7 linked regions of the Ovis aries genome follow. The protein of the gene in region 1 interacts with the protein of each later gene in a pairwise test. Links are inferred from orthologs where the notes say so. Each region holds a gene or a part of one and is shown in the gene's direction. Other genes may lie near its edges. The genes, in order: AP1M1, KRT40, AP2B1, ZBTB8A, RUNDC3A, ENTR1 and MTF1.

Region 1 (3,040 bases):
GTGGATTCTTTACCACTGCACCAGCAGGGCAGCCATTCCTTCCCCCGCTACAAGTCCCAGCTCTGGAGTCCGCTTCCAGGGCCAGAGCCTTTCCCTTCCAGGGGGAGACCTAGGGCCAGCTCGTCAGTCCCAGGCAGCCCTGTCGCCCCGTGCCAGCGCTCGCTCTTCCTCTCCCTCCTTCCTCCCCAAGGCCTAGTGTTCTTCTTTTCCTCGACGCAACTAGGCTTCTGTGCCTGGGAACTTGTAGCAGTTTCTCTTCATCCTCAGAATTAGAGGATGAATTTTCCCTAGCGGGGCTGGTGTGGGCAGCCCAGGAGGCTTAGAGGATAAGGTAAGTGTGAGTGTGTTGCAGGAGCCGAGGCCCAGGGTGGCCACAGACCGTGCAGGAAGGGACTCGTTGGCCAGGCCCTCAGCCTGGCATTCTCCAGGGGCAGCTGTTGGATGGACCTGCCAGGGCCTCCGCCTGACCATCTCCTCTGTGGTCTGCTCCCGCAGGGCGGCAAGGAGTACCTGATGCGGGCCCACTTTGGCCTGCCCAGCGTGGAGGCAGAGGACAAGGAGGGCAAGCCCCCGATCAGCGTCAAGTTCGAGATCCCCTACTTCACTACCTCTGGCATCCAGGCACGTGCAACCAGGGCAGCCGGGGCCCCGGGGCAGACATGGACAGGCCCAGCGGGGCCTCTCAGGGGCCAGGCACCAGTCCAGGCTCAGAGGGTTGAAGGTGACAGACACGAGTGCAGCCAGTTAGCGAAGGGTGCTAGCTGACTCGTCCCAGCACTCCAAGCTGCTCCCCAGCCCTGCCCATCTCCGTGGGCGCCCTGCCCATCTCCGTGGCCGCCCTGCCCGTCTCCGTGGCCGCCCTGCCCGTCTCCGTGGGCGCCCTGCCCGTCTCCGTGGGCGCCCTGCCCGTCTCCGTGGGCGCCCTGCCCGTCTCCGTGGGCAGCCTGGCCCTGATGGAAAGAGGCCTGCAGTGGTCTGCTCACACCTGACCTGTGCTCCAGGCTCAGAGATGCATTCAGCCCCCAAAACTAATGTCCACACACTTGCCGCTGTGGGGTCCATTTTCCTGGCACCTCCACGGAAGCCCTGTATGGGGCAGAAAACCCTGGGATTGACCCCTTCTCTAGGAATCTGCTAGAGGGTCGTGCCTGCGAGTGCACATCTGGCTCTTGCCGCACCTTCTAGAAGCATCTCCACCCTCCCCCGGCCTGAGTGTGAAATAGACTAATGTGCTTCGCCCTCTCCCTCGCCCTCTTGGTCTCAGCCCAGCCCCAGGAGGAGTGGCTGGGTGGGCAGCCAGGAGTGGGGCCGCGTGTGCATGCTTAGGGCCCTGATGCCTGTGCCGCAGGTGCGTTACCTGAAGATCATCGAGAAGAGTGGCTACCAGGCCTTACCGTGGGTTCGCTACATCACTCAGAACGGAGGTGCGTGCGACCCGCCCTAGGGGCAGGGGGGGATTGCTGAAAAGGCCCCTGGTGGGCGTGCCTCTGTCCCCAGGGTGGTGCTCAGGGAGCAACCTCAGGGTCAGGGCAGGTGGGGCGGCCCCTCCTCCAGGGTCAGAGCAGACAATGGACGCCCCCCTCCCTCTTTGTAGATTACCAGCTCCGGACCCAGTGAGCAGCCGTGGTGGCCCACCCTCCCAGCCCGGAGGCTCCCGGTGGAAGCGCCTGCCCAGCCTGCTGGAGGGAGGGGCTCCCCTGGACCCTGGCGCCCCTCCAGGCTCCACCCAGGAGCCCCTCCTCCCAGGTGCACCTGCTCTGCCGCCGCCACTCTCACCTCCCAAGTCCCCTTTTCCCAGAAGAGGCTCATCTTCAAGAGGTCTTGTCTCTCAGTCCCTGAGTCAGTTTAGGGAGAAGGAAAGGCATCTTTCCCTCCAGAGGTCAAATACAGCCTTCTGTGCTGTTCCGCTCCCGGTCACAGAAAGAGTGGGAAGCACCGCCCGGGCCGCGCTCTGGCCAGGCTGGCAGGGCTGCCCTCGTGCTGCCACTCTGTTGGATGCCGTGGGTTTATCGAGCATTCCTAGATTTTGTCTCCGGCCGTCGCTGTGTATGTGATCCTCGCTGTCTGTGCCTCCCTCCCCCGTCCTGAAGCTCTCAGGCAGCACTTAGCGAGGACAGGCTTCCCCTTCCTCGCCCTCCTCCCCAGTGAGGCTGACACCGGTTTGCCCTCTCAGCACCTGGCGTTTCGACTAGAGGCTCCTGGTCTGGAGCTTTGAATAGAGACGCCTTCTCAGGGCCAGCCCGTGCCACATGATGCTGTCACTCAGCCACATCAGTGTTTGTCCCGCCAGGGGAAGAGGGGTCCAGCGCGGGCCCCCAGCCTCAGAGGGTGGGGGTCCCAGGCCATCCCCATCTGTGCTTGGACACCGCCGCCCCCAACCCTGTCCATGTTTGTGCCATGAGTACATTAAACTCCATCGGTTAAACATGCCTTCCGTCTGGTACAGCGTTGTGCTGACTCCTGGGTGCCCAGGAGAGGGGTAGGCGCACACCAACCTGAGTGGGGCACCAGTCCCTGGGGCCCCTATGTCCCCTGGGGAAGACGGGACCAGGCAATGAGCAAGCAGAGCCATTGCCCAGGGGCCTCCCAGAGGGGCTGCAGAGGGGAGGGCTCACGGGCAAACGTTTCCGTCCCGTCTGAGATGACCGTCACAGCCCTCGGCCCTCGGGCCACCAGCAGCCTGCTCCCCTCCGCAGCCCAGTGGGCTTCCTCAAGAGTGTGGTCCTGCTGCCAGCAGCATCAGTGTCCCCCCGCACGTGCAGGCTCACAGGCGCCCTCCTTTACCCGCCGTGGCAGTCTCTGGAGGTGGGGCCAGGAGACCGGCTAACAGGCTCTGCATGTGATTCATACGTGCCCTGGAGTCTGAGGACCGCGGCCTGGCGCCCCCTCCACAGGGGGGTCTCGGCAGGGCCGTGGGCAGAAGGCAGCTTGTCTGCCCACTGCAGTCACAGGCCTGCCCCCTGCTGCCTGCAGGGGCTGTGTCTCCCTTTCCCTCTCCCGTATCACCCAGCCCCGCCTTGGAGGTCTATTGGGCACCAAC
Region 2 (4,377 bases), on another chromosome or scaffold:
AAAGTGACAAAGTTAAGCTGGGAGAGCTCATGTTGAGTATATTCATAGAACTTGAGTAGATGTTGACTGATGTGGAAAAAACTCACTCTAGGCACTGTTACTATTCAGCCTGATCATTCTGGTGTATCTCTGAATGTAAACGTGAAATGACCACTGGCCAGTGCCGAATGGAGGAACTTCGCCTGCCTTTATTTTGGGGGGAGAACGTAGCTCCACAAATAGCTTTCCTGGGTGTTTTATGCCACTTTTATCTCTAACTCATAAAGTATGAAAATCAAGCTGATAATTGCAGAGTGCGAAGGTCATTTCATAAAGGAGAAAAGATTCATGCAATATTTAGACTAATTTTTTTAATATTCTGCATTTATAAACTTTTGAAATCGTCAATTGTGAATTATATAATTATCCTACATTTATGAAGCTGAAAACTGAAAAGCTGAATGGTGTTACAGAGTATATCTTCCCTTTGAACATTTGTTTATGATAATAGTAACTAACATTGAGACCTTATGGTGCACTTAGGACTTAAGTGTTTTCTATGAATATGAACTCTCATATATCTCACAATAACTCTCTTGTAAGGGTAAAATCATACCTATTTCACAGATGAAAAAATTGAGTGATGAAAAGAGACTCAAGCTAGGCAATCTGAATCTAAATCTCACACTTCTACTCACTACTGCAAAAACCAGAAATGGGGTGCTGTTGGTATATCGAATTGAATTTTTTCCCCACAAGTCACATTCTTTACTCCATTTCCAACTCAGGAGGTCAACGTGCTTCGTGGACAGCTGGGCGACCGGCTCAGTGTGGAGCTAAACACTGCCCCCACCACGGATCTTAACAGAGTCTTGGATGAGATGCGTTGTCAGTATGAAACTGTGCTCGCCAACAACCGCAGAGACGTGGAAGAATGGTTCGCTGTTCAGGTTGGCACTTGGAGCAATAAAATGACAGGCATCCAGACTTCTGCCTAATTTGCATATTCTAATCATGCCTGTATTTCAGACAGAGGAACTGAATCAGCAGCAGCTATCCAGTGCAGAGCAGCTGCAGGGCTGCCAGACGGAGATCTTGGAACTGAAGCGCACAGCCAACGCTCTGGAAATTGAGCTTCAAGCACAGCAGAGCCTGGTATGTAAGGGCAAGACCACTCCGTTTTGTCACTGAAGAATCATGCTTAAGATACTTACTATCCCCTATTCTGTAACCCAAAGGACAAACCCACAGTTTATGCAGCAGAAGGTCTGAATTTCCTTCCCTTTTTCAAGGATGCTGTTTACCCAGCTAGAAGCGGAAGTGATAGGTCGACAATTTGTAATGTACCACTAGGATGTCCTGACCTTCCTTTCTGGGCTTGGGCATGATCCTGCAGCATCCTCCAGAGACAAAGAGAGGGAACAGAAAGAGCAGAACGAGATAGGAACTTACAAACCAAAGGCTCTCCTTTGAAGAGATGTCTGTTTAGGTCCTCTGCCCATTTTTTGAATGGGTTGTTCTTTTTTAAAAAAATTTGAGCCACATAAGTTGCTTGCAAATTTTGGAGATGTTGGTTTCATGGTTCATGAATGTTTTCTCCCACTAACTCTTTTGTGGTTTGGGCCAATTTTCCAAGCTCACCATCACATTTAAAATGAAGATGCTCAGACTTTACATTCTATAACTATCTTAAACTTTCCCAGGATGCACACCTCAGCTGGACCCTTCCCTGTACCATGCTTCACCCAAGCAGCAAAAATACCATGTATTCAAGATTACACTAAGCATCTCCATTGCTGTGTGAGCCACATTAGGTCCTATAGAGAATGTCTAAATGAATAAGAGCTGAGCATTCATCTTGTGAGAGGCACAACGCTAATTTAATTCTCACACTAACCTTATAGGGTAAATCCCTCCGCTGACCCCATTATACAGATGAGGAAAGCTGAGGCTCAGATTAAGTAACAGGGGTTCACACAAGTTTTAAGAGGCAAAAGTGGAAGCTGAATCCAAGTGGTTCGATCTCAGAGCCTCTTCTCTTAACCACACTAGGAGCCAGGAGCCCATTACAACATTTTCTCTCAAATGCTTTTGATCTTCACTAGGCTACACTAGTAGGTTATAGGTCGCAGAGGCCATAGTGGTAATGATAACTCTTACTACCTTTAAAATTTTCCAGGCACTGTTTTAGACACTTTATGTATATTTACTCATTTAACCCTCCAACCATCCTATGAGGTTGGTACTTTGCACTCTTCATTTTTTATACAGTAAAACTGAGTTCAGACTGATGGCTCTAGCAGGTGTTAATCTTCGATCTTAACAGGACTTTTGACACCGTGGTGTTTCCAGGGTGGTAAAATAGTAGGAGATTTGGGGCTTTTAAAATGTATTTATACTAAATAAATAATGCCCAAACTGGAAAAAGCAACAACAACAACAACTGAGGCTCAGAGAAGCTAAGTAATTTTCCAAAGTCACATAGCTGGAAAGATAAGAGTAGAGCAGGGTTGGAAAACAGGCAATCTGGCCCCAGAGACTGTCCTACAACCACCTTCTTTACACGCTCTTTCCTTCTGCAGACAGAATCTCTGGAATGCACCGTGGCGGAGACTGAGGCCCAGTACAGCTCGGAGCTGGCCCAGATACAGTGTCTGATCGATAATGTGGAGAACCAGCTGGCTGAGATCCGCTGCGACCTGGAGCGGCAGAACCAGGAGTATCAGGTGCTGCTGGACACCAAGGCCCGGCTGGAGTGTGAGATCAACACGTACCGGGGGCTGCTGGACAGCGAGGACAGCAGGCAAGTTCCACACAATCCCTCTTAAAATCCCCCAGAGTCACACAGAGGCTCTTGAAGGACCATCCTGTTTCCCAAAGATCTGGCCATATTCAAACCTCCTTAAAGGAGTTAAAGGATATTCTTAAAGAGTGATGAAAAGCAGCAAGGCTAGTCACATGTCAATTGAAATGTTCAAAATGTTCTAAATTTCCAAGGCAGAAAAAATATAATATGTAACATTTCAAGCTGGGAGTTTCCCTTTGCTCCTGACTTCAGGAAACTCTGAAGAAATATTCCAGGGTACTGAATGATTTAACTACTAGACAAATGGCAAAATATGCATAACTTTTGGCTAATGGGACCTAAACAGGCATTGGAAAAAGCCGTTAAGAGAGTAAATCCTAAGAGTTCTCGTCACAAGGAAAAAATATTTTTCCTTTTCTTTTACTTTGTATCTGTATGAGCTGATGGATGCTCAATAAATTTATTGTGGTAATCATTTCATGATGTATATAAATCAAATCATGCTGTACACCTTAAATTTAGACAGTGCTGTATGTCAAGTATATCTCAATAAAACTGAAAGAAGAAAAAAAGGAAAGTCAGTAACACACATAAGATGGCATTTGCCAACTAAAGAAAATACATAAAGGTTTATCCAACTGTCTCTGCTATAGTGAACATGAAGTGGCAATTCTTTCATTCAAATGTTATTCTGAAAATAGAGTTCTTCAAAATATAATTTGAAGGGCAAATTTTGGCATGATTTTTTTCTGAGTTGACATTTTATCCAGCTTCTCCATGTTGAGATTAGTTAAAAATGGATTTTTCACAGGCTTCCCTGTAACCCATGTTCTGCAACAAGCACGTCAAACAACACTTGTGAGCCATGCTCGGCGTACATAATTTGCACAGTTGAAAACAGCTGTCCCTGAAGGTTAAACACCCAACACAGCAGATGGAGGAAGGGAAGCCAGCAGAATCCTTGAGAGGAGACGGTGCTTCGATCAGGGACATCCAAACTTGAAATTCAAGTTAAGAACGCTTTTGTATTCTAAAATTGTCCTCTAAGCATGCATGAAGGATCTCTGTTTTGTCATTTCCTCTCTTGCTTGCTTATTTGTGATATTCTAGGAGTCTGTAAAGCTTTCTTGCTGCTCTCCAATAAAATGTTTTCATTCCTTTAGAATGGTAAATACAGACTTGTAGCTCATTACTGTTAATATAATAAACATTTGATGCCAAGATAATTGTCTAAAACAATGCCAGTAGTTTGATTTTGCCTAAACCCAGAAGGAAAATATTTTTTAACTCCTTGAATACAAATAGATTAGCTAATTCATGTAAAATGTCATATATCATGGAAGATAGGTGTGTATATATCATTCTGAGAAGAAACACTTGAGGATATTAATTATAAAAGTACTAGATTCCCTTTTTTTTCAATTTGGCACAGGAAAGGGAAAAATCACTCATAATTCCATACCCCAAATATCCATTGTTGGTATTTGGGGAACTTCCAGTTTTCTTTCTTATAATGGTAGTAATCATAGTTTCGTATGCATTTAGTTTTAACCTATTTTTTCACTATGTTATCTAAGCATTTTCCTTCCTAA
Region 3 (4,365 bases), on another chromosome or scaffold:
GGTGGTGAAGTTTGGGTAATAGGTCAAGGCTAGAGATAGGCTTTTTAGGAGTCATATGAGTAGGAAAAATAGTTGAACCCATGGTATTGCTAAAGGGACAGTGTAAAGACAATGTATGAGTATAGAACATAAATCCTTGCTTCTCCCTCAGACACCATCTTGTATCTCTTTTCTTTTCAGTCATACTTTTTTTTATGGAGTTATCTGTTTTCATTCCTTTCCACCCATTTATCTTCCAACCTCTGCAGCGTGACTTATGCCTTCAATGTCTCTATGAATGGTCTTGGCAATGACATAAAGACCTTTGTGTTGCTAAATTCTTGGACACTTTTTGGCTCCTCCTTTTCTCTATAGCAACTGTTCTTCTTAACCACTCACTCATACATTTAGTCATTCAACAAATTTGGGGGAGGCGGGGGGTAGGCCTCAGAGATACAGTTTTGATATTCAGTTCTATACTTTCATAGAACTCTAAAAACATTCTAAATCATTATGACTGCCTTCTTTTCCTTCTACCTCTCTGACTGCTTCTCAGTCCCCTTTGCATTTTGGTTTCCCAGCTTCTGCCTTAGGCTCTTCACATTCTTCTTCTTTCTTGATTAAAGACTTTTTATTATTTTTACTTAGAGCAGTTTTATGTGGGAAGTTTTAGTTTTGAGGGGAAGATACAGAGATTTCTAGGTCTTGGTTTCTGAAAGGGACTTCTTTCGCGTAAGCAAACTCGTAGGTTTTCCTGGTGGCTCATTGGTAAAGAACTCGCCTGCCAATGCAATAGACACGGGTTCAGTCCATGGGTGGGGAAGATCCCTTGGAGAAGGAAATGACAAACCACCCCAGTATGCTTGCCTAGGAAGTCACATGGACAGAGGAGCCTGGTGGGCTACAGTCCATGAGGTCACAAGAGTCAGCTGTGACTTAACTAAAACAATTAACAAAGCATACCTATTACATGCTAGGCTTCTTACCAACCTAATCCGGTTTAAGCTTCATAAACTGGTAAGAGTTATTATCATCGTCTTTATTTCACAAGTAAGAAGACTGAAGTTGAAGAGACAAGTAACTTTCCTAGTCACATTCAGGGCAGGGATTCGGATTCAAATGGATTCACACATAGATTTGAGACCGTCTCAACCTTTTTTCCTTGCACCAGTCTCCTCCAGTTCCACTGCCCTTGTATAATCCTGGGCTGGATCACCACTGTCAGTGTATTTTAATTGCCCAAGGAATTAGCTGGGTTTTGTTGTTTTTTAAAGAAAGCAACAGGCATTTCACTGACTCTGTGTAAGTTTTTAGAGAGGTCTTGTGTGAGGAAACAAATCCAGAGAATGTCAGCTTGTTTACTAGATTCTTTCAGATGAATTTCCTCCGAAGCCTAGATCTCAGATCTCTACCACACCGCGCAAAATTTTTCCGTCTCCAAGGCGACAGAGAGTAGTCCCTCCTTTCTCGTTCTCTCGCGCGTCTGGATGACATCACACGGCGAGGCTCTCTGACGTAAGAGTTTCCTGTCCACCATCTTTGTACCGGGCAAAGTGGGTTTTGCGCAGTGGCTTAGACCTGGAGAAGGAGTCGTGACGTGCAGGAAACCATTACAACATCGCTCGGGCCGTGCTCTCTGGCCGCTGCTGCCACCCCCGCCCTTGCCTACGGTGAGTTGTAGGCGGCTACCTCTGGGGTGTGTCCCTTTTTGATGGGGATGGGGGATCCCCAGACTTGGTTGGAGACAGGCGGAGGAGAGGAAATCCGAGGACCGTGACCGTTGAAGATGGAGTGAGCCGTCGGGTGTGACCGTTGTGAGGAAGAGGGTTGGAGAAAAGGACTCCACCGCTGGGGCGGGGCGAGGGAATCCTCGGGGTGGGAATTGGGGGGTATTGGGGGAAAGATATGTTCGAAGTCGGGGGGTTAAGAGGGTCAGAGGCCAGGGGTGTGGCTGGCGGAGACCGGAGGCCAAGGAGAGAACCTTGCTTCTTCCCGGTTTGGCGTCGTTCTCTGAGAGGCTAGGTAGGACATGCTCAGCTCAGGAAAGGGAAAAGGGGTTCCCCAGAGCTTTGCTCCTAGATGGGTAAACCTCGCCGTCGCCCGTCATTTGAGGTTAAGAGACGCCTCTCTGCTTCGTAATGGAGGAACATAGCCGTAGAATTTTTACCACCTCGGGAAAGAAGAGGAATTCCTGACTCCGAAGATAGGGAAGAAAAACCCAGAGAATTGACCCGATATGAGAGAGGGGGAAGCTCTTGAGAGTAAATGTTAGCCCGGAGTTTTTTCTTCGGGGTCTTAGAAGGAACGGTCTGGTTTGAGAAAGGCTGTGGATTAGACAGAGGTAAAGAAACTGGAACTTCCTGTTAATTCCATTTTTTTTTTAATCCAAAGAGTTTATTCATGCTGTTAGTTTTTAACAGCACTCTTCTATTTGGGGGCAGACTCTTTTTTAAACTCCATTATGAAGCGGTGTGAATAAAATGTGGCTGCTTCATTAAACTTTTCACTTTTAAAGGTTTTAAAAATGCCAAAACACTGTTAACAATCCTTGTAGTTTAAAGAGAAAGTAAAAAAAAAAAACGCAGTAAGTTTAGAAAAGATAGAATGACCAAGAAAGTGGTCTCAGTGAGGAACAATTTAAATTATTAATCACCTTCCTGGTATACTTGTGTTGCTTAGCTTCAGGGTACACTTACAAAGTAATAATAGAAAGCAGCAGATGAAGGAGATGCAGCTGTGCAAGAAAACGTGTAACACTTTGCCAGTGGTGACTAAGCCTGGTGGGAACGTGAGAACTGTTTACAGGTATTTGACAGTTTAAACTCCCAAAGAAGCCGAAAGTAGAGGGTGTTCTGCAGATAGCTTCACTGAAAGCTGGATGGTAAAATTAGTATAAAGCTAACATTCTGTGAGGGCTTCCCTGGTGGCTCGCCTGCAGTAGGCGTGGGTTTGGTCCCTGGCTTGGGAAGATCCCCTGCAGAAGGCAATGGCAGGCCACCGCAGTGTCCCTTCCTGGGAAATCCTATGGACAGAGAAACCTAGCAGGCTTCAGTCCATGGAGCTGCAAAACAGTAGGATGTGACTTAACCACTAAACAACATTCTGTGACTTAAGAGACTCAAGAAAACCTGGTTCTTCCATCTTTTTTTTTCCTTCTTTAAACACACCTGTATTTTTAGTCAGTTCAGTTACTCAGTCGTGTCTGACTCTTTGCCACCCCATAGACCGCAGCACTCCAGGCCTCCCTGTCCATCACCAACTCCCGAAGTTTACTCAAACTCATGTCCGTTGAGTCAGTGATGCCATCCAGCTATCTCATCCTCTGTTGTCCCCTTCTCCTCCTGCCTTCAGTCTTTCCCAGCATCAGGGTCTTTTCCAGTGAGTCAGCTCTTTGCATCAGGTGGCCAAAGTATTGGAGTTTCAGCTTCACCATCAGTCCTTCTAGTGAATGTTCAGGACTAATCTCCTTTAGAATGGACTGGTTGGATCTCCTTGTAGTTCAAGCGACTCTCAAGAGTCTTCTCCAACACCACAATTCAAAAGCATCAATTCTTCGGTGCTCAGCTTTCTACCTGTGTTTTAAAATATTACATTTAAGGCACAGTTCTGAATCAAGCTGAACAAGTAACAAATTAGGAAGGACACATTTTCTTTTCTTCCTTCTCTCTCTCCAGGCGTTAAGTTTTCCAGAGTTTATTTCAATTAAGAATTGGATGTGAAACTTAAGACCTTTTTTCTTACTGTATGATATTAGCAGAGTACTTTGTAGTTAAATGGGAATGATAGGTATGTCTGTTGTAATGAGTTATCTGTTGTAATTTTGTATGCAATAAATGATACATGAAGATGTGTTATTGAAATGTGTAATTAGCACTTCTCATCCTTATGCTTGTAATGAAAGATTACTAAGATGACCTGTCCACTTTATAATTTGGTTTAATTCTGTTCACTTTTTCCCTACGGGCACCAGCTGTGTAAAATCCAACTTCACGTGAAGAGAGTGGATTTACTGGCCTCACCAACTCTAAATTAGCTGCTATTTCCCAGAGAGCCATTCGGAGTTAAGACCCCTATTAATTTTTTTCTGGCCTTATTCTCTTTAGGGGCACCAGAAGGAAGGAGGGATAGTTGAGAAGGGAAAACTGTCACAGCCTATATTTAGTAGAAACTAGGTTATGTTAAATCTAGATGTGTAATCCTGTACAGAGAGGCCTTTTCTGAAATGCAGTGACATCACACTCTGGGCTAGGAAAGTTAGAGAAATTGTGCATTTGACTCTGTCAGCCTCATTTATGTTTTAAAACGATGTCCTGAGGCCATACCTCAAGCCGGTAGAGCAGCCGATGGATGACTTGTCTAGTTTGACCTGGTAAAAAGGTAGTGTGA
Region 4 (4,220 bases), on another chromosome or scaffold:
TTATCACTAATCTGATGTGCTCTACTGAGGAACAAGTTTGTAGAACTCTTTTGCAAGTTTCAATTAAAGCTAAAAAAAAAAAAAAAAAACACCAAAATCTTTTCTATAACAATGCCCAGGTCTATCTAGGAGAATTATCAATGGGGATGCTAGTAAAATAGTCTGAGTACATTCAACATTCCTGATACCTAATGGTTTTCAAACACATTTTTAATGATCTGTGCAGAATGATGTGAGGAAATGGAACTAAATAGCAAAATAACTGGAGAGTAATATAGAAGTGATATTAAGAGATAGTTGTGTTTTGTATCCTATGAACTGTAGCCTGCCAAGATCCCCTGTCCATGAGATTGCCTAGGCAAGAATACTGGAGTGGGTTGTCATTTCCTTCTCCAGGGGATCTTCCCCACCTAGGGATCAAAACTGCATCCCCTGCATTGTAGGAACATTCTTTACCACTGTGCTCCTAAGGAAGCCCTTCTAGTAGAGAATATGGTCCTCAAAGCACATAATTAATTATGATGAAACCAAAGTAACAAACTTTGTCCAGTATAACTGAATATGACATGAGAGAAGTCCATCAAAGACTAAATATTTTGAAATTTTGAGTCTTGTTTGTTTTACTATATCACAGAACTTTTCAGTACTTTACTCCAACATAAGGAACTAGAAAACTAATTTATAAAATTGTTTCTATAGTAACAATGAAAATTCAGTGATTATAAAGATTTTAGCAAATACATAATCTGACGTCTGAACTCTGAATATTAGGGACATAAATATGTCAGAAGAAAGACTTGATCTACAATGAATTTTTGTATTTGAAAACACAAAATCTGCTATTCTTACTAGTTTTTTATTTTCTTTGAACTTAACCAAGAATTATTTTCTCTTATCTCAGCTTCTTGAGTTAGCCTCTTCAAAGAAAATGCAATGCTTGTGACCTGTAGAGGTTTAGAAAAGGTATCCCCGACTAAAATGAGTGCCTCAATAAAAGGAAAAATTCTGTACAGATCTCTTCCATTTGACGCTGCTAAACTTAAGTACAATAATGTCACATGTACTTATACAGTAATTGTGGGCACGCCTAAGTCCCTCCCTCTTTCCTAAACCAAATTCCCCAGATCCTAGAAATCCAGCCCTTCTGCCCTCCGGAGGCGCCTTTCCCAACGTAAAGTACAATTTAAAATTTAAGCTCCTGACTAAATAATGATTCCGTAGCCAACTGCTCGGGGATCTGGGCACCCCAGCGCCTCTGGAGCGTGCAGCGGGGTGTAGGGAAGGGCAGGGGGAGTGGGCGAAGCTGCTGGTTGGTGCCTGAAATCTGTGCGTTGCCCCTTTAATTGTGTCCCCAGCCCTCGGGCGTTTCTGTCCAACGCCCACGTCAGCAAATACCTTTTGTTTCTCTCACGTTGGGGCTACTTGTTTTGGGGCGCAAAGGAACGGCTTCGAAAGGGGGAATTTCCCCCGCCGAGAACCGGGAATCTTCCCCCCAGCCCGCGCGCGCGACCCGCCGTTGCGCCGCGGCCCGCGGTAAGTGGCTGCGCGCCGCGCGGGCGGAGGGCGGGCGGGGCGTCGGGGCAGCCTCGCACGGGCCCGCAAGCCTCGCTGCGGGCGGAGGCGCGGGCGAAGGCGCCGCGGGCTTTGCTCCCCGGGCGGTGGCGGCGGGATACGGCCCGGGCGCTGCGCCCCCAGACGTCCCCGGGCTGGGAGAGCGGCGGGAGGCGCAGAGGCGAGCGGGCGCCATTTGCAGCCCCGGGCGCAGCGGCGGTGGCGCGCCGGTCTGAGGGGCTGGAGACGGTCACAAAGGAGGCGCGGCCGGGCGGCCGGCGCCGAGAACCTGGCCTCGCTGCGGTGGCCGGCGAGGAGAGGCGGGCGGCGGCGGCGGGGCGCACCGGTTCCCGGACTGCGCGGCCGCCGCGCCCGCCCTGCCGCCCGGCCCTGTCCGCCTGCGCGCCCGGGAGGGGCTGCGGGACAATGGCCGCGCCGTCGCCGCCCGCGCCCGCCCGACCGCCCCCGCCGAGCGCCGCGCCCGCCTGGCCGCCCGGCCCGGCCCGGCCGTGGCGCGGGGAAAGGCGGGAAGGCGCGCGGAGCCTCCTGGCGGCGGTGGCGGGAAGGCGGCGCGGGGCCGGTGCCGGGCGTGTCTGGAGCCGTCGGGCGCCGCAGACTCCCGGAGGGTCGGCGGCCGGCGGGGCTCGGGCTGCGCGGCCAGTGATGGGTGGCCCGCCGGATGGGGCGGCCGAGGTCTGGGGCTTGTCACTTGCGGCCAGGAGTCCGAGTTTCTCCGTACATCTTCCATCCTTTGGTTTTATATCGTGACGCGACAGATCCGGGCTTAGAACCCAAGCAGACTTACTATACCTAACTAATATTGTGCTGTAATTACTGTTTTATGACGGACTCACACATACGCACCTTCTGCCCATGTAGACGGCATCTTTTGTAAGTTAATAGCGGTTTGGCACCTTCGCCTTCAAATGCGCTTATTTATTATTGATTGTGCCAGTAGCCAGGTTCTGTATCTTTCAAAGGCGGTTCCCCCCCGCCCCCGGCTTTCGTTTTTCTTTTAAAATTGAAATATAGTAGACATATAACCTTATGTTAGGCTTAGTACAAAATGCGTTTGCAAGCGGTAGATTCTCACCTATTGGGCTTTTAAACTACGCACATCAGTATTACTTCTGTTCTTAATAAGCCTCTATATTTGAAGAACTTTAGTAAATGGAGTGCTTTCGCCTATATGAATTATTTCACTTATTTTCGCATAAAACAACCATCTAGTCAGGCCGGTGGTTTTTCCACTTTCTAGGTGAGGAAACGCATTAAGCATTTAAACGTTAAGCCAGGAGGTGAACAGTGGCAGGCTTCCAGCGCCCTTGCCTCCTGTTCTTGCTCTTCATTTCCTCCTAAAGTCACCTCCATATTCTTTAAGTAAGCAAGTCATATCATTCCCATGCTCTAAAGCCCTTAACCGATCTTATCAGAAACAAGTCTAAAATCCTCAGCAGAATAAACCTTAGGCTCAAAACTTCCTCTCTAATCTTCCCCGAGTCTCAGATAAGGCTTGAATTTGTGGGACCCCTGGAGCAAGAGCCCTTCACTGAAGGGCTGTCAGGCAGAGTATAACCAGGAATCAGATACCTTTATTCCTGGTAGTGCCCCTGGCCACACAAATGGTAAATGGGAAGTGAGAATCTAACCTGCCACCCCCGGCCAAATGGGCATGTTTGGGTTAGGCTGTGAAATATTAGACCGGGGCATCCTGAGTACCTTGGCTTCTTTCAAGTCCTGAATTCCCCATGAAAGAGAGCAGCCTGCCAGAACTTATCTTGTGGCCTTGAAATCACCAGCTCTGCTGTTGATGATGATTTGAGCCCCCAAACTTTGTAAGATAGGGTAATACTTGATTCATCCTGTATCATTTAAATCTTATTTTCTAGATAAAATGGAATTTATGTCTAATAGGCTTAACCTTTTCAGTGACCTATCTGTTTATAATAAAGAATTTGGTGCGAGTGTTTTGATCCCCTTGAGGAAAGTTCCTGTCACTTTTTTGCTTAGAGTTGGTCAGTGGCTCCTCATCTTCAGTGGGTCCCCGTCTTACTCAGACCAAAAGCCCAAGGCCCTAAAGAGTCTACCAAGTCCACAGGAACTGGTCCCACGATGTCCTGTGAATGTCGCTCAGTTGTGTCCGACTCTTTGCAACCCCATGGACTATACAGTCCTTGAAATTTTCCAGGCCAGAATACTGGAGTGGGTAGCCTTTCCCTTCTCCAGGGGATCTTCCCAACCCAGGGACTGAACGCAGGTCTCCCGCATTACAGGGAGATTCTGTACCAGCTGAGCCACAAGGTGAGCCCCGGGATGTCCTACTGCCCCACAATCTATTGTTCCTTTCTGACTCCGTCTTTCCTTACTCTCCCCAGCCCTCCATTTTCTACATTTCTTTTAGCTCCCCGACTCGGGATCCAACCCATACCCCTTACATTGGGAGCACTGAGTCTTAACCACAGGAGTGCCCGGGAAGTCCTCCCCAGCTCTTGATGTTTCTCCAACCTCCTTGCCTGCTTCTCTTCAGAGCCTTTGCGTTTGTTGTTCCATCTGCCTGGAACACCCTTCCTCCAGATATCTGAATAACTCTCTTACCATCTTTGGACTTTACTTTAAATGCCATCGTCTCACTGACTTTCCTCAACTATGGTTTTTATTTTTTTAACATT
Region 5 (4,125 bases), on another chromosome or scaffold:
TCCCCAGGAAGTCAGACCAAGATTGGGAATTTCTACAGGTCTTTCATCTCTCCCTCCTCTGTTTGTGCTAATGGAGGGTCCCTGCCTGCTGGTCATTTTCAGATGTGAGTGCCCATCTGGAGCAATGTGGAGACACTGACCAGCCACTATCGAGCAGCGTCAACCCAGAGAGTGGGCAGAGTTGGACAATGGACATTTCTGAGGCCAGATGGAGAAACTGGGTGAAGCTCTTGTGATCAACACAGAAAGCCTTTCTGCGGGAGCTGGGGATTTCAGTGGTTGAAAGAGAACAGGCTAAATAGAGGAACAGAGAGATGGAGCATGTGGGAGCAGTGATGTGAGAGAGCAACGGGTAGTATGGAAGCCAGACTGTCCCTCTGTTTCCCCCACCTTCCCTAAAGGATGCAACCACCTAAAAGACGCAACCAGCACTGTCAATCAACTATACTTCAATTTAAAAAAATAAACACGGAAAATGGATGCAACCAGCTTTTCTGGCCTTGAAGAGAGGGTTGGTGGCACCCTGCAGCAATTCTAGCAACCAAGGGGTTAATCCTCAAACCAGCTGCCTCTGGGGTGGTGTGAGGAGGTAGGACTCAGAAGCAGTTACTTGGCACCACTATGGGCATCAGCTCTACTGCTGGGAACCTCCACGGAGCCCAGGCCCTTAGCTGCCAGTCTACTCTCCACTCTTTGTCCCGACGGGTTCCAGGCTCAGGGCTTCTACGGCTCCTTCTGAATTCCCATCCCCCACCCTACAGCGGTGGACTCCGCCGGCTGGCGCAGACGAACCAAGCCCGGGGGCAGACAGATACGCAGTTTCCGACTGCTCCTTGGTCTCCAGGGTCTCTGGACGCAGACCTGGCCTGGCCTCACTGGGAATGCCATAGACAACGGGTGGGCGGAGGGGGCCGGGATAAAGGTGAGGAGAAATGAGAAGACATCTGAGATAGACACCACTGATCAGAGGTCAGAAACAAGGGAGTAGAGGAGTCGGGACGCAGAGACGCGAGACGTGGGGTCCTGGGCTCTGAGCCTGGGGGTGGAGGGCAAGCCAGAAGCCCCCTTTCTTCCTTCCAATCGCTGCCTCTCCCTGGGACCCTCTCGGCGCTCCTTGAGGCCCCTGTCCCTTCCCCTCCCCCTCCAAATCCTGCACCCTCTGCGGATTGGTCCCCGGCCTGCCAGGGGGCGGGGCTCGAGGGCTTTGACGTCACCGGCCGAGGGGGGCGGGCAGCTAGGGGAGGGGGTGACGGGCCCCGGCTCAGCACCTCGGAGAGTTCCCTCCCCGGCCTTGTTTTGCTTCGGAATCGCCGCCGGGGGAGAGAGCCAGGGGGCCGGGCAACACGCGCAGCGGCTGGAGGATGGCCGTGGAGGGGTCGATGTGCCCCGGCGGGCAGAGGGCCCAGCGGTGATCCGGCGGTGGGGGGGCCGGGGCGCCGGGCAGGGTGAGGGGCAGCTGGCGGCGGCAGCAGTGGCCACACATCTGGATGGAAGCGAGCTTTGTCCAGACCACCATGGCTCTGGGGTTGTCCTCCAAGAAAGCGTCTTCCCGCAATGTGGCCGTGGAGCGCAGGAACCTCATCACCGTGTGCAGGTGGGCACCGCCGGCGGGCGGGGGTGGGGTGGTCAAGGAGAGGCGACGGGGCCGGCTGGATGCGAGGATGCACAGCAGACGCGAAGAAAAGGGAGGCAGCACAGGGTTAAGAGGAGCCCGCGTCCGCTATCCTCAGACCCAGGCTTGGAGAGGGTCTAGAGGTTTGGTCCCTACCCTTCTAGGCCAGACCAGGCCAGGCCTGTGCCCAGCCTGGGGCCTGGAGGGTGAGGGGTGTTTAATTGGCACTGCAGCTTCCTGTGAGAACCAGGAAGTGACATTGTCTGTGAGGGGGAGGGGTGGGGAGGGCTGGCTCCCTTGCTGGGGGCGGGAGCTGGGTGGGCAGAGAAGAACTGATGGGAGAGGGGAATGAACGCCCTCCAAGCATGTCCTCACTCCCACCCCTGCCAACCTGGCCTCTCTGGGGTAGGGCTTTTCTGGGAGATTTCCCAATTCTCAAATCCTGGAGCAGGGGTGGTGCCCTCCTCCATCTCTAGGCAGTTAGTTGCAGCCCATGGCAGGGTCAACCGGGCATGTAGGTGAAGTCCTGGAATCCATCCAGTGAAGGCACAGCACTGCTCCTGTGGTGGGAAGGAGTGAGGGTCTGACCGCAGGAGCTGTGTTCTCCCGGGTCCAAGGGGAGGAGATTGGGAGGGCCGAGCCCTTGGTTCCCAAGGGTGGGGTTGTCGCAGTGTTGGGAAGACTTGCCCGCTTTCTTGGGGCCCAGAAAGTGAACCTACCCACTCCCCAGCCCTGCAGTGGCTCACTCTCCCCTCCCTGAAGCCAGGAATGACCAGTCCTCAGCCCCTACCTGTACTCATCTCTACCCCTTGGAGCCCCCTGCCAGCTGCCTTCTCCACCTGCAGTCTCCCCTCTGCCCCACGCCACCTCTGAGGGCTCAGCTGTCTTCCCTTGCCAGACCCACCTGCCTGCATACCAGCCGTGGTCCTGCTCCTTCCCCCAGGGATCAGTGCCCACCTGATGCCCTGGGTCTGTCTCCTACAACTCTTCCAGGTTCCTGGGTGCACACTCAGCTCTACTACGTCTGTCTCATACCATTATATCCCCAGTGCCTAGCATGGTGCTGTGCACACATGACCTCTGTAAAAATGCCCGGAACGTTAGAGAAGGAATGAGTGCGGCAGTGGCCCAGCCCAAATGCAGGCCTCTGCCTCCATGCTCACCTCCCAGGCCCTGCCAGTGTGGTGTAAAACACAGACAGTCCTAGGTTCAGGCTTTTCTTCAGTTATTAGCTGTACCACTTTGCGGAAGTCTCCTAACCACTCTGAGCCTTGGGTGTCTCACCATCTCCATCGTAGGTATAACAGCCACACCAAGGAATGGTAATGACATGATGCATGTTGGAGCCTAGTCCTGCACCTGGCACATGAAAACAGCCCGTCCCTATGCCATCCTTCCTGTCCCTCTCATCTCTCTTGACCTCCTAGGTTCTTCTGCCTTCTCTTGCCTGCCAGGACAGCTGGGACTGTTGAAAGTGTAGGGAAGGGACAAACGCCTCTGGGCCTCAGCTGCAGAAGCAGACGTTCTGGGGGACTGGAAGTGGGGTTAGAGCTGGAATGTGAGGGATAGAGTTGGCGGGGAAGGGGTGATTGCGAGCATGACAGAGGCTCAGAAATCCCTCTGGTCCCTGCCGCCTCATCACAGTCACGTGGTTTGCCTCCAGCTCTGGGAACAGTTCCCTTTAGCAGGCCAAGGGCTCCCCTGGGCCCTGGTTGCCCTGTCTCCATGGTAACCTGCAGCAGCCACTGCACCTCTGAGCAGGGAACACACCATGGGGCTCCCGGGGGCGATGACCAGCACCACAGCACCCCTGAGGACAGATGGCAGATGGCTGCCATGCTGAAACCAGCCACAGGCCCCCACTGAGGTCTGACCCAAATGACCAGAAGACATCACAGGAGCAGGGCTGTATAATAAAGTCCAGATAATGTCCTAAACACAGACTCCTTCTGGTCATGCCATTAATGGCCCAGTTCCTTACCACCCCTGCCCCATGGCTTGCTCACTCACCTTCTCCCAGACTTTTCCCGGAATTTGAACCAAAATTTGATGAGACAAGTACTATTGTTCTTGTTTACACCTGGGGAATATGGGCCTTGGAGAGATTAAGTGACTTGTCCAAGGCCACAAAGGTACCACCAGGACACAGGATTTGAGTCCATCCAGGCTGCCTCCCTTGGTACAACCCCAGCAACTGACCTGACTCTTATCTCAGGCCAGACCAACTCAAAGGAAGGGACTGAGGTCTGTGGGGTTAGTTGTGCCATTGGCCTAGAGCCTTGGCGGCCAGTGTTCGAGGGCTAGAGCACAGAGCGGAGGACAGAGTGTGGAGGAGGCAGGGGCTGCTTGGGGCCTCACTGATCCTGACATCCACCAGGAGGCCCCAGAAAGAGCAAGGGCATTGGGATCAGACATACCTGTTGACGCCTCACAAGCTGTGTGACTTTGAACAAATCAGTCAGTCTCTTAGACCCTTCAGTTATCTTATCTGTAAAATCGGGGTGATGGTGATA
Region 6 (4,119 bases), on another chromosome or scaffold:
CAGTGTAAACCGTGGTGGCCACCAAGGTGCAGCTGTGTTTTTCACGCATCAGAAAAGTCTGCATCTCTTTATGTAGAGGATTTCTACACCGTCCTAGGGAGAGAGCAGAGGGGTGACCAAGAGCACCCCTGAGGGAACAAACTCTGGCTGAGCCGAGGCACTGGAGGCAAGCTGGTGCTGTGTCTATGAAACAGTAGTAACAGCCCCTTGGGGTGGGGGCTGTGCGGGTTAAGCCAATTTCTACTCACAGAGCACTTGACCAAGCTCTGCCCTTCAACAGCGCCCCTGGAGTCTAAATGGAAGCCACGCCTCTTTACCAGGTCCCAAAGGCTTTGTATGGTCTGACCCCTGACTCACTCTCCAAACTCATCTCCTAACCCGGGAGCCGCGCCACACCAGGTGCACCCCCCCTCAACAGGCTGGGCTCATCACTCCCACAGCTGGGCCTGCCTTCTTCGCCCGCACTGCTCACAGCGCTGGCCCTTCTCTCATTCCCCACCTCTCCTGGCTTAAACGTCACCTCCTTGGAGGCTGCTCTTCATTCTTCCTGAAGTTGTCTCCTGTTTCCTACCGCTGAACTTCGGCTTCAAAGCTGAAACTCTAGGTGCGCGATTGTCTGAACCCACCGCCTGGTTTCTGTCATCACAGCACCCGGCTCCCACGCAACTCCTGTACACAGCGGGAAGGCAAAACCCCACCTGTCGCCTAAACCAAGTGCCCGTGTGGGAAAGGCCCGAGGTCCAGAGGAAGTGCACAGCACCGCGGCCAAGGGCACGGCTCTGGCCACCACGGAACCCTGGCTCCGCGGGCTCGGCCTCACAAGGGGACACGCGGCCGGAAGGGGCCCGAGGCGGAGATGACACGTGACCTCGGACAAGCCCCCCGACCGCCCGGGAGAAGCGGGAGGGAGAGGAGAGACGGATGAAGCTCGGGGCCGGAGCCCGGGGCGCCAGACGAGGAAGCCCCCACGTCGCCTCGGGGACGGGGCCGGGGTCCCGCACCCCCAGCCCGCTGACCGGCCGCCGCGCCACGGCATGGGGAAGCCAGAGGCGGGGCGTCCAGAAGGGCTCGGGCTGCCCCGGCCCCCGGCCGGCCCCCGGCCCGCCCTCGGCTCACCTCGGCCGCGAGCGGCCCCACGAGCCCGCGCCCCGCAGCAGCCGCGTCGCCGCCAGCACCATGGCCGCCATCTTGTGGCACCGCCCACCGCTTCTGTCGTCACTTCTTGCTCCGCCCCCGGCGCCCCGCCCCCCCGGCGTCCGCTCGCGGCGCTCGGCCTCGCGCTTCCGGTGCGCGGAGCGGAAGCAGCGGCTGGAGGCTCGGAGCGGCGGCCGAGCGGCGGGCGACGGAGGCGGGCGACTCGGGCCGCGGCCGGGACGGAGCCGGGGCCATGGAGCCGCCGCTGCCGGGCTGAAGAGGGCCGGCGCCGCGCAGCCCGCGGCGATGGCGGGCTACGCGCGCCGCCCGGGCGTCACCCCGCTGTCCCGGGCCCGGAGCCTCGTCATTCCGGACGGTGAGCGGGCCGGGGGCGGGCGGGCGGCCGCGGCCCAGCGGCCGCGCTGAGGTCCAGGTGAGGCGGGCGCGCGGGTGAAGAGTCGCTCTTGTTGTTATTACAGCTCCCGCGTTCTATGAGCGCCGGTCTTGTCTCCCCCAGCTAGACTGTGAGCGCCCCCCGGCCAGGGACCTGGAGTCCCACTTCTTCGGCTTTCGGCCGACGTTTATGTGCTATATGCCTAGTCCGGTGCTAGCTTCCGTGGGAGACACAGGTGAGAGACGAGCTTCAGGGACCCCGCCCTCCCCGGGGCCGGCGCTGCTTGCGGTACCGCGCGGTAGCGCAGCTCACCCCCGGCCTCGCGATGACCACTAACCCCACCGGGTGCCGGGCGCTGGGAGTCCCGCCGCCTGGAGCTCACCACAGTCAGAGAGTGGAGAACCCCCCGCCCCCGCCCCCGCCAGACAGTTCCAGTAGACCGCAGTAAATGTTGGCTTAGAGGTAGGCCCAGGGTGAGCACAGAAAACCCTGTCTTTCTTCCTAAGCCTTCAGCAGATCAGGCTTAAACCATTCTCTGGTCCCCTGCAGCTGGGCGGAGGCCAGCTTTAGTTCCTCCTAATTCTCCCCAGGTGGCTAACACTGCCTGGCCTTCAGGGTATTCCGGGGCGTTTAGGTGGTTCTATAGGGGTCTGAGAGCCATTGACCACCCACAAGGGCGTTCAGGAGGCACCACAAGACGCCTGCCCTACTGGGCGTCAAACCCATCGGGAGGTTTTTCAGAATCACAGATGCCAAGGCCCATGGCAGCAGCCCATGTCCAGAGGCAGGAGCCCATGGGCGTGAGCTTTAAACGTCCTCCAGGCTGTGAGAGACCACTGCACTAGAGACCCCGTGTCAGAGAGAGCTGGGGTCACAGAGCACTCGTGTGGTCACAGTGGGGTGATGGTGTCTCTCTGCAGATTTTGGCTATGGAAAGGGGAAGTGTGCTAAGCAAGGTCCACCAGGAGCTCAGAACACACACTTTGGAGGTAGAGTAGTTCGGTAATCCTTTATTTTTCTCTCCACCCACGTCTCCACGTGCCAGGCGCGTGCCCAGGGGTGGGGCTGTAGATCTGACAGCGTATAACTAGTCTACCTGGAGCCCAGAAGAGCCAGTGGGAGTGGAGCCCCGCAGATCTGATCTTCCCTGGGGGGGGGGGGGGGGGGGCGGGAAGTTGGGAAGTCACGCCTGAGGGGTCTGAAGAGACGGGGGTGGAGCTGAAGTCACAGGAGCCAACTTCACACAGGACTAGCAACTGGGCTGGGCGTTGTCGGTGGGCTGAGAGGGCTGCGGGGTGGCTGCCTGGGTCCCCAAGGAGTCGGGGAGAGAAGGGAAGGCTGAGGTGAGGCGGGAAGAGGCTGGCGGCGGAGCAATGACTTGACGTCTGCCGGCCCCGCTGCAGGCTGCTCCTGGAGCCTCTGGCCGGGAGGGGACCCATGGGCGCCTTCGCACTCCCCAGGTGGAGCCCGATGGCAACAAGGTGCAGGGGGCGCGGGGCTGGAAGGAGGATCTTGGGCGCCCGAGTCAGTCCATCCTGTCAGGTAGCTAGTCGTCTCCCGGCATCACCGGGGTCTGGGGAAGGATGTGAGCATTCCCGATGTAGGTGGGGTCGCGTTCAGGCGAGAGCAGTGAATAGGAGCTCCCTCTGAGGGCCTTCCGGAGGCTTTTTGCCTGAGTGACACCTGGTATCTTTCAGATGATAAACTCGGAGACCTCGAAGCGGCAAATCCATTCTCCTTTAAAGAGTTCCTGAAGACCAAGAACCTGAGCCTGTCGAAGGAGGACGCCGACAGCAGGGTTTACTCGAAGGTAAACCCAAGGCCGTGTCTGCAGCGACCCTAGAAACCCTCCAGACATCTCTCCTGACGCGCATGGGATGAGGGGCGAAGCGAGCAGCTGGTTTGCCCCGCGGAGCCGCAGCGTGGGGTTCAAGGCCACCGGGCTCCTTGCTCTCTGTGCCAGCAGCAGACATCTGGGAGGGACGGCCTGCAGCGGCCCCAGTCTGAGCATTGCTTCCCCACCTTCTCTAGGAAGCCACGAGGCACTCGCTGGGACTCGACTGCACCTCCCCAGCTTCCCAGACTGTGGGCTATGGCCTGGAATATCAGCAGCCATTTTTCGAAGACCCGACGGGGGCTGGCGACCTCCTGGACGAGGAGGAAGACGAGGAGGACGGGTGGAACGGGGCCTACTTACCGTCCGCCGTGGAGCAGACGCACTCCTCCAGGGTGGCCGGCAGCACGTCGCCCTGCAGCACGTACGTCTCCTTTTTCTCCAACCCGTCGGAGCTGGTGGGGCCCGAGTCTCTGCCCCCATGGACACTGAGCGACTCCGACTCTCGCATCTCCCCGACGGGGAGCCCCAGCGCTGACTTCACAGCCCACGGAGAGAGTCTGGGGGACAGGCACCTTCGGACGCTGCAGATAAGTTACGAAGCAGTAAGTGAGGGGGGGGTTGCGTCGGCACCCCACCCTGGTCACTGCTCGTGCCTGAGCAACATTCTTGGAGGATGCCGGAGCCCCCAGCGTCCTCCATGGCCTGGGGTTTGGGCTCCAAGGACGAAAGTCTGTGCTGCTGCGGCTGCGGCAGC
Region 7 (3,611 bases), on another chromosome or scaffold:
CAACTGCTCAGCTCTGCCATTGCAGTGCAGAAGCTATAGAGAGAATTCAAAAGTGAACCAGAGTGCCTCTTCCAGTACAGCTTTATTTGCAGAAACAGGCATTCAGCCAGCAAGTCAGTTTGCCAACTCCTGCTTTAGAGTGTTTGAAGACCCAGATCTTCAGTGTCTGAGGCTTAGGGGAATAAATGTCACCTTAGGAAAAGAAAAGTTAGAAACCAGAAGCATAGCCGAAGATCATTCTCATCCTGCTGCTCTGCGCCGTCTTGGGGTGCAGACCTGCTTTTGGATGGTGCGCCTCATGCGTTTGTCTCTGTCTCTGCCACAGGGCCAGAATCTCAGCACTCTCTCACCAGCAATCATTTTTGGACCAATGTTCCAGAAGTCAGATGATCCGGCAATTCAGGAAGATCCTCAACAGACAGGTTTGTTACACAGACTGTCTTCCTGCTCAGATCTCCGCACTGGGAAGGAGAATTCACACTTGCTGACACAGTAGATGTCAAGCACAGTGATATATTTCAGGTCCTTTGAATGAAGTGTACTTTCATTGAGGGATCAGAGAAGGATGGGCTTTTTAGCTCAATTCCATTTTTTTCTTTCCCCTGCTTCCCTCATCAAGGGTTTACTTGAGGATCTACTTTTCCTGGACCCTCAAATGAAGAGGGTCCCCTTTTCCAGAATCTTTCGTTGGCTTTCAAAAAGTGAGAGGAGTCGTGAGCACTTTCTTCTGATGTGACACCCCATTCATGAGTGGATAGAATCCACAAACCAAACTTTAGATATGTAGATCAAATTGTGTTTGAATGAAAATATGTCCCTGAAGCGTCACAGTAGTTAAAAAGTGTGTTCAGTGGTCATGTGCCCAGAAAAGAATGTCTAACCTCTTTTCCACAAAAGCCACGGGACACACATTTTTTATGGTTAGATCCATACTAGGTCTTCGAGTTTAGAAAGTGAGGTTGATGGTAAAGCCTGGTACTTTGACCAGAGGGGTCATTACGTGAAAAGCAGAGAGCCAGCCTGTCTGCAGTGAAGGAATCGTCTCTAACAGACTTCAGCTGTCTTTGGTGTAGCCCATAGAGACTGTTTTTGTGGCTTATATAAGGGTTGGAATGTGTATCTATATTTCTATTTCTTTTTCTTGCCAGCTGCCTTGATTGAAAGTTTTAATGGTGATGCGGAGTCAGTCAGTGATGTTCCGCCATCCACAAGACATTCAGCATCTTTATCTCTTCCACTTATACTGCAGCCTGGCATCTCCGAGCCACCCCAGCCTCTACTACCAGCCTCAGCACCATCTGCTCCTCTGCCTGCTCCCTCCCTAGGAACTGGTTCCCAGCAAGCTGCATTTGGCAACCCCCCTGCTCTCTTACAACCTCCAGAAGTGCCTGTTGCCCACAGCACGCAGTTTGCTGCTAATCATCAAGAGTTTCTTCCGCACCTCCAGGCACCGCAGCCCATCGTACCAGGACTCTCTGTTGTTGCTGGGGCCTTGGCGTCAGCAGCGGCAGTGGCATCCGCCATGGCAGCACCACCCCAAACACAAAGTACTACTGAGCCCCTGCCAGCCATGGTCCAGACTCTGCCCCTGGATGCCAACTCTGTCCTAACTAGTAATCCCACTCTAACCATCACCCCGACTCCCAGCGCAGCTATCCTGCAGCCCAGCCTAGTCATGGGGGAGCAGAACTTACAGTGGATACTAAATGGTACCACCAGCACACCGCAAACTCAAGAGCAAATTGTAAGTATGATGTGGAAAGGGGTCCAGTGGGTGAAGTGTATTTCTGTGGGTGACATGTTCAGAGGCCTTTACTTCAAAAAAGGAAAATGGCTGTTGTTTCTACCCCGAAACACATCACTCTACCAGTCATTTCCCCCATAATCAAGCAGTGTGAGTCCCGGAATGTTGCGGTCAATACCTATAATAGAGGGCCAGAGAAACAATTTTCAGATTTACCTAGGTATTTCAGCTGCGGTCTGATTCTGTCAATTCTGACAGGAGAGTCCGAGAACGTTCTCCAAGGCAGAGTCCATCCTGGGCTGAGGGACTGATGGGACCTCATCAGATGGAAACAGACCACAGTGGCCAAGTCAGAAGTAATCTGTGCTCCCAGAATCCATCATAGAGCCATTTTCTACCCAAGTGTATGGTCTCAGTGGCTAAGGAAATGACGTGGTTGTTCAACTGAGTATATTTTGAGAACCTGCTGTATACCAGATACCACACAGGATACTCTTGGAAATCTGGAAAAATGAAAAAAAAAAAAACATTTATTTTTGATAAAAACTTATATTCTAGTTAAAGAGGCTAAAATACCTAGAAGGAAGTTAATGCTACCAGTAGATAAAGTGTCAAATAATAAAAATAATGGTAATAAAAAATAACAATAGTTGTGACTTTTTGAGCCCTTCATGTACGTATGGGCTTCCTGTGCTGACTAAGCACTTATTAAAATTGAGGGTCTAACGTGCCAGTCATTACCTTAGGGACCTTATTTTTAGATTATATATATTTTTTAGTTTTTATCAAACAAATAGTAAGAACTTCCATACACTTCCTGCTCCCTGCCCACCCCCAGCCTAGTTTCCCTCATTATTAACAGCTTGTATCAATGTGATACATTTATTATAAGTGAATTAATATTGATAAATGATTATTAACATCTGTATATGTTTGTATCTCTAGATGTCACCCCCACCCCATGTTAAGTATTTTAATCACAGCAATCTTAGGAAGTAGATATGATTTTATCAATGGAGAGCTGAGACCCAGAGAAGTTAAGTGGTGACTAGTCCAAGGTCACACAGCTTATAAATGGCAAAGCCTAGGCAGACCAGTCCCAGAATCCATGCTGCTGATTGTGCTGCCAGATGAGGGGTTCAGAGACTAAAGGCTTATTGGGTGGCCATATGGGCCAGGTGAGCCTTCTTGAGGTGTGAGCAGGAATTAGGTGGAGGAAAGGCTGCACTGAGCAGGAGTAGGTCTGGTGGATGTATGATGCTGCCAAACAACCAGAAAGGCAGGTTGGAGCTAAATGGCAAGAGCACTCAAGTTCCATAAATGGGATGGGCGCCACCACCTCTGGAGGCACCCTAGTTCCAGTTTCAGATGGCCAGAGTCCCTGGAACAGCCTCTTCAGCATTGTGATCCAACCTGCCTCCAGGTGGTTCGGTTTTTTGGTTGTTACTATTGTTTTCATTATTTAAAATTATTTTCAGGGACTTCTCAGGCAGTCCAGTGGTGAAGGCTCCGCACTTTCACTGCAAAGGGCAATCCCTGGTTGGGGAACTAAGATCCCACATGCTACACAACATGGCCAAAAAAACACTTTTTTTCCCATTATTTTTACTGTTCTTAATATTTGCTGATGGCTGTATACAGAAAATGATCCTACTATCTCATTTATGATCTTTTTTTTTCTATTTTCTTCCAGTTTTATTGAGATATAATTGATAGATAGCAGAGTATAAGTTTGAGGCGTACAGCATAATAATTTGGCACACATTTAGTGAGCATCCATCATCACGTGATAGATAAAAACTTAAGGATACAGAAGAAAATGTGTGTGTGAGAGAACTTTGAGGATTCACGGCTTAAAGAGCTTTCA

Evidence for each region.
Region 2: the proteins of AP1M1 (region 1) and KRT40 interact in binary tests that used the Homo sapiens proteins (3 or more experiments, as listed by UniProt). The two-hybrid records come from large-scale screens. The link is inferred for Ovis aries from reciprocal best matches to the Homo sapiens genes AP1M1 and KRT40.
Region 3: the proteins of AP1M1 (region 1) and AP2B1 interact in binary tests that used the Homo sapiens proteins (3 or more experiments, as listed by UniProt). The link is inferred for Ovis aries from reciprocal best matches to the Homo sapiens genes AP1M1 and AP2B1.
Region 4: the proteins of AP1M1 (region 1) and ZBTB8A interact in binary tests that used the Homo sapiens proteins (3 or more experiments, as listed by UniProt). The two-hybrid records come from large-scale screens. The link is inferred for Ovis aries from reciprocal best matches to the Homo sapiens genes AP1M1 and ZBTB8A.
Region 5: the proteins of AP1M1 (region 1) and RUNDC3A interact in binary tests that used the Homo sapiens proteins (3 or more experiments, as listed by UniProt). The two-hybrid records come from large-scale screens. The link is inferred for Ovis aries from reciprocal best matches to the Homo sapiens genes AP1M1 and RUNDC3A.
Region 6: the proteins of AP1M1 (region 1) and ENTR1 interact in binary tests that used the Homo sapiens proteins (3 or more experiments, as listed by UniProt). The two-hybrid records come from large-scale screens. The link is inferred for Ovis aries from reciprocal best matches to the Homo sapiens genes AP1M1 and ENTR1.
Region 7: the proteins of AP1M1 (region 1) and MTF1 interact in binary tests that used the Homo sapiens proteins (3 or more experiments, as listed by UniProt). The two-hybrid records come from large-scale screens. The link is inferred for Ovis aries from reciprocal best matches to the Homo sapiens genes AP1M1 and MTF1.

Annotation. Positions count from the first base shown.
Region 1 is NC_056058.1:6,573,139-6,576,178, reverse strand, and holds the end of AP1M1 (AP-1 complex subunit mu-1), read left to right. Parts: intron 1-495; coding exon 496-621; intron 622-1,348; coding exon 1,349-1,424; intron 1,425-1,594; coding exon 1,595-1,617; 3' UTR 1,618-2,430; downstream 2,431-3,040. UniProt on the Homo sapiens protein: Subunit of clathrin-associated adaptor protein complex 1 that plays a role in protein sorting in the trans-Golgi network (TGN) and endosomes.
Region 2 is NC_056064.1:40,925,210-40,929,586, reverse strand, and holds the end of KRT40 (keratin, type I cytoskeletal 40), read left to right. Parts: intron 1-767; coding exon 768-929; intron 930-1,008; coding exon 1,009-1,134; intron 1,135-2,561; coding exon 2,562-2,782; intron 2,783-3,596; coding exon 3,597-3,696; 3' UTR 3,697-3,788; downstream 3,789-4,377. UniProt on the Homo sapiens protein: May play a role in late hair differentiation.
Region 3 is NC_056064.1:14,480,615-14,484,979, reverse strand, and holds the start of AP2B1 (AP-2 complex subunit beta), read left to right. Parts: upstream 1-1,553; 5' UTR 1,554-1,793; exon of another isoform or gene 1,794-2,784; intron 2,785-4,365. UniProt on the Homo sapiens protein: Component of the adaptor protein complex 2 (AP-2). Adaptor protein complexes function in protein transport via transport vesicles in different membrane traffic pathways.
Region 4 is NC_056055.1:235,067,208-235,071,427, reverse strand, and holds the start of ZBTB8A (zinc finger and BTB domain-containing protein 8A), read left to right. Parts: upstream 1-1,386; 5' UTR 1,387-1,533; intron 1,534-4,220. UniProt on the Homo sapiens protein: May be involved in transcriptional regulation.
Region 5 is NC_056064.1:43,852,807-43,856,931, forward strand, and holds the start of RUNDC3A (RUN domain-containing protein 3A), read left to right. Parts: upstream 1-1,236; 5' UTR 1,237-1,487; coding exon 1,488-1,594; intron 1,595-4,125. UniProt on the Homo sapiens protein: May act as an effector of RAP2A in neuronal cells.
Region 6 is NC_056056.1:3,075,384-3,079,502, forward strand, and holds the start of ENTR1 (endosome-associated-trafficking regulator 1), read left to right. Parts: upstream 1-1,285; 5' UTR 1,286-1,440; coding exon 1,441-1,510; intron 1,511-1,613; coding exon 1,614-1,763; intron 1,764-2,448; coding exon 2,449-2,517; intron 2,518-3,225; coding exon 3,226-3,338; intron 3,339-3,559; coding exon 3,560-3,967; intron 3,968-4,119. Other genes in the region: PMPCA (mitochondrial-processing peptidase subunit alpha), read right to left, coding at 1,117-1,187. UniProt on the Homo sapiens protein: Endosome-associated protein that plays a role in membrane receptor sorting, cytokinesis and ciliogenesis. Involved in the endosome-to-plasma membrane trafficking and recycling of SNX27-retromer-dependent cargo proteins, such as GLUT1.
Region 7 is NC_056054.1:12,611,772-12,615,382, reverse strand, and holds part of MTF1 (metal regulatory transcription factor 1), read left to right. Parts: intron 1-325; coding exon 326-422; intron 423-1,148; coding exon 1,149-1,744; intron 1,745-3,611. UniProt on the Homo sapiens protein: Zinc-dependent transcriptional regulator of cellular adaption to conditions of exposure to heavy metals. Binds to metal responsive elements (MRE) in promoters and activates the transcription of metallothionein genes like metallothionein-2/MT2A.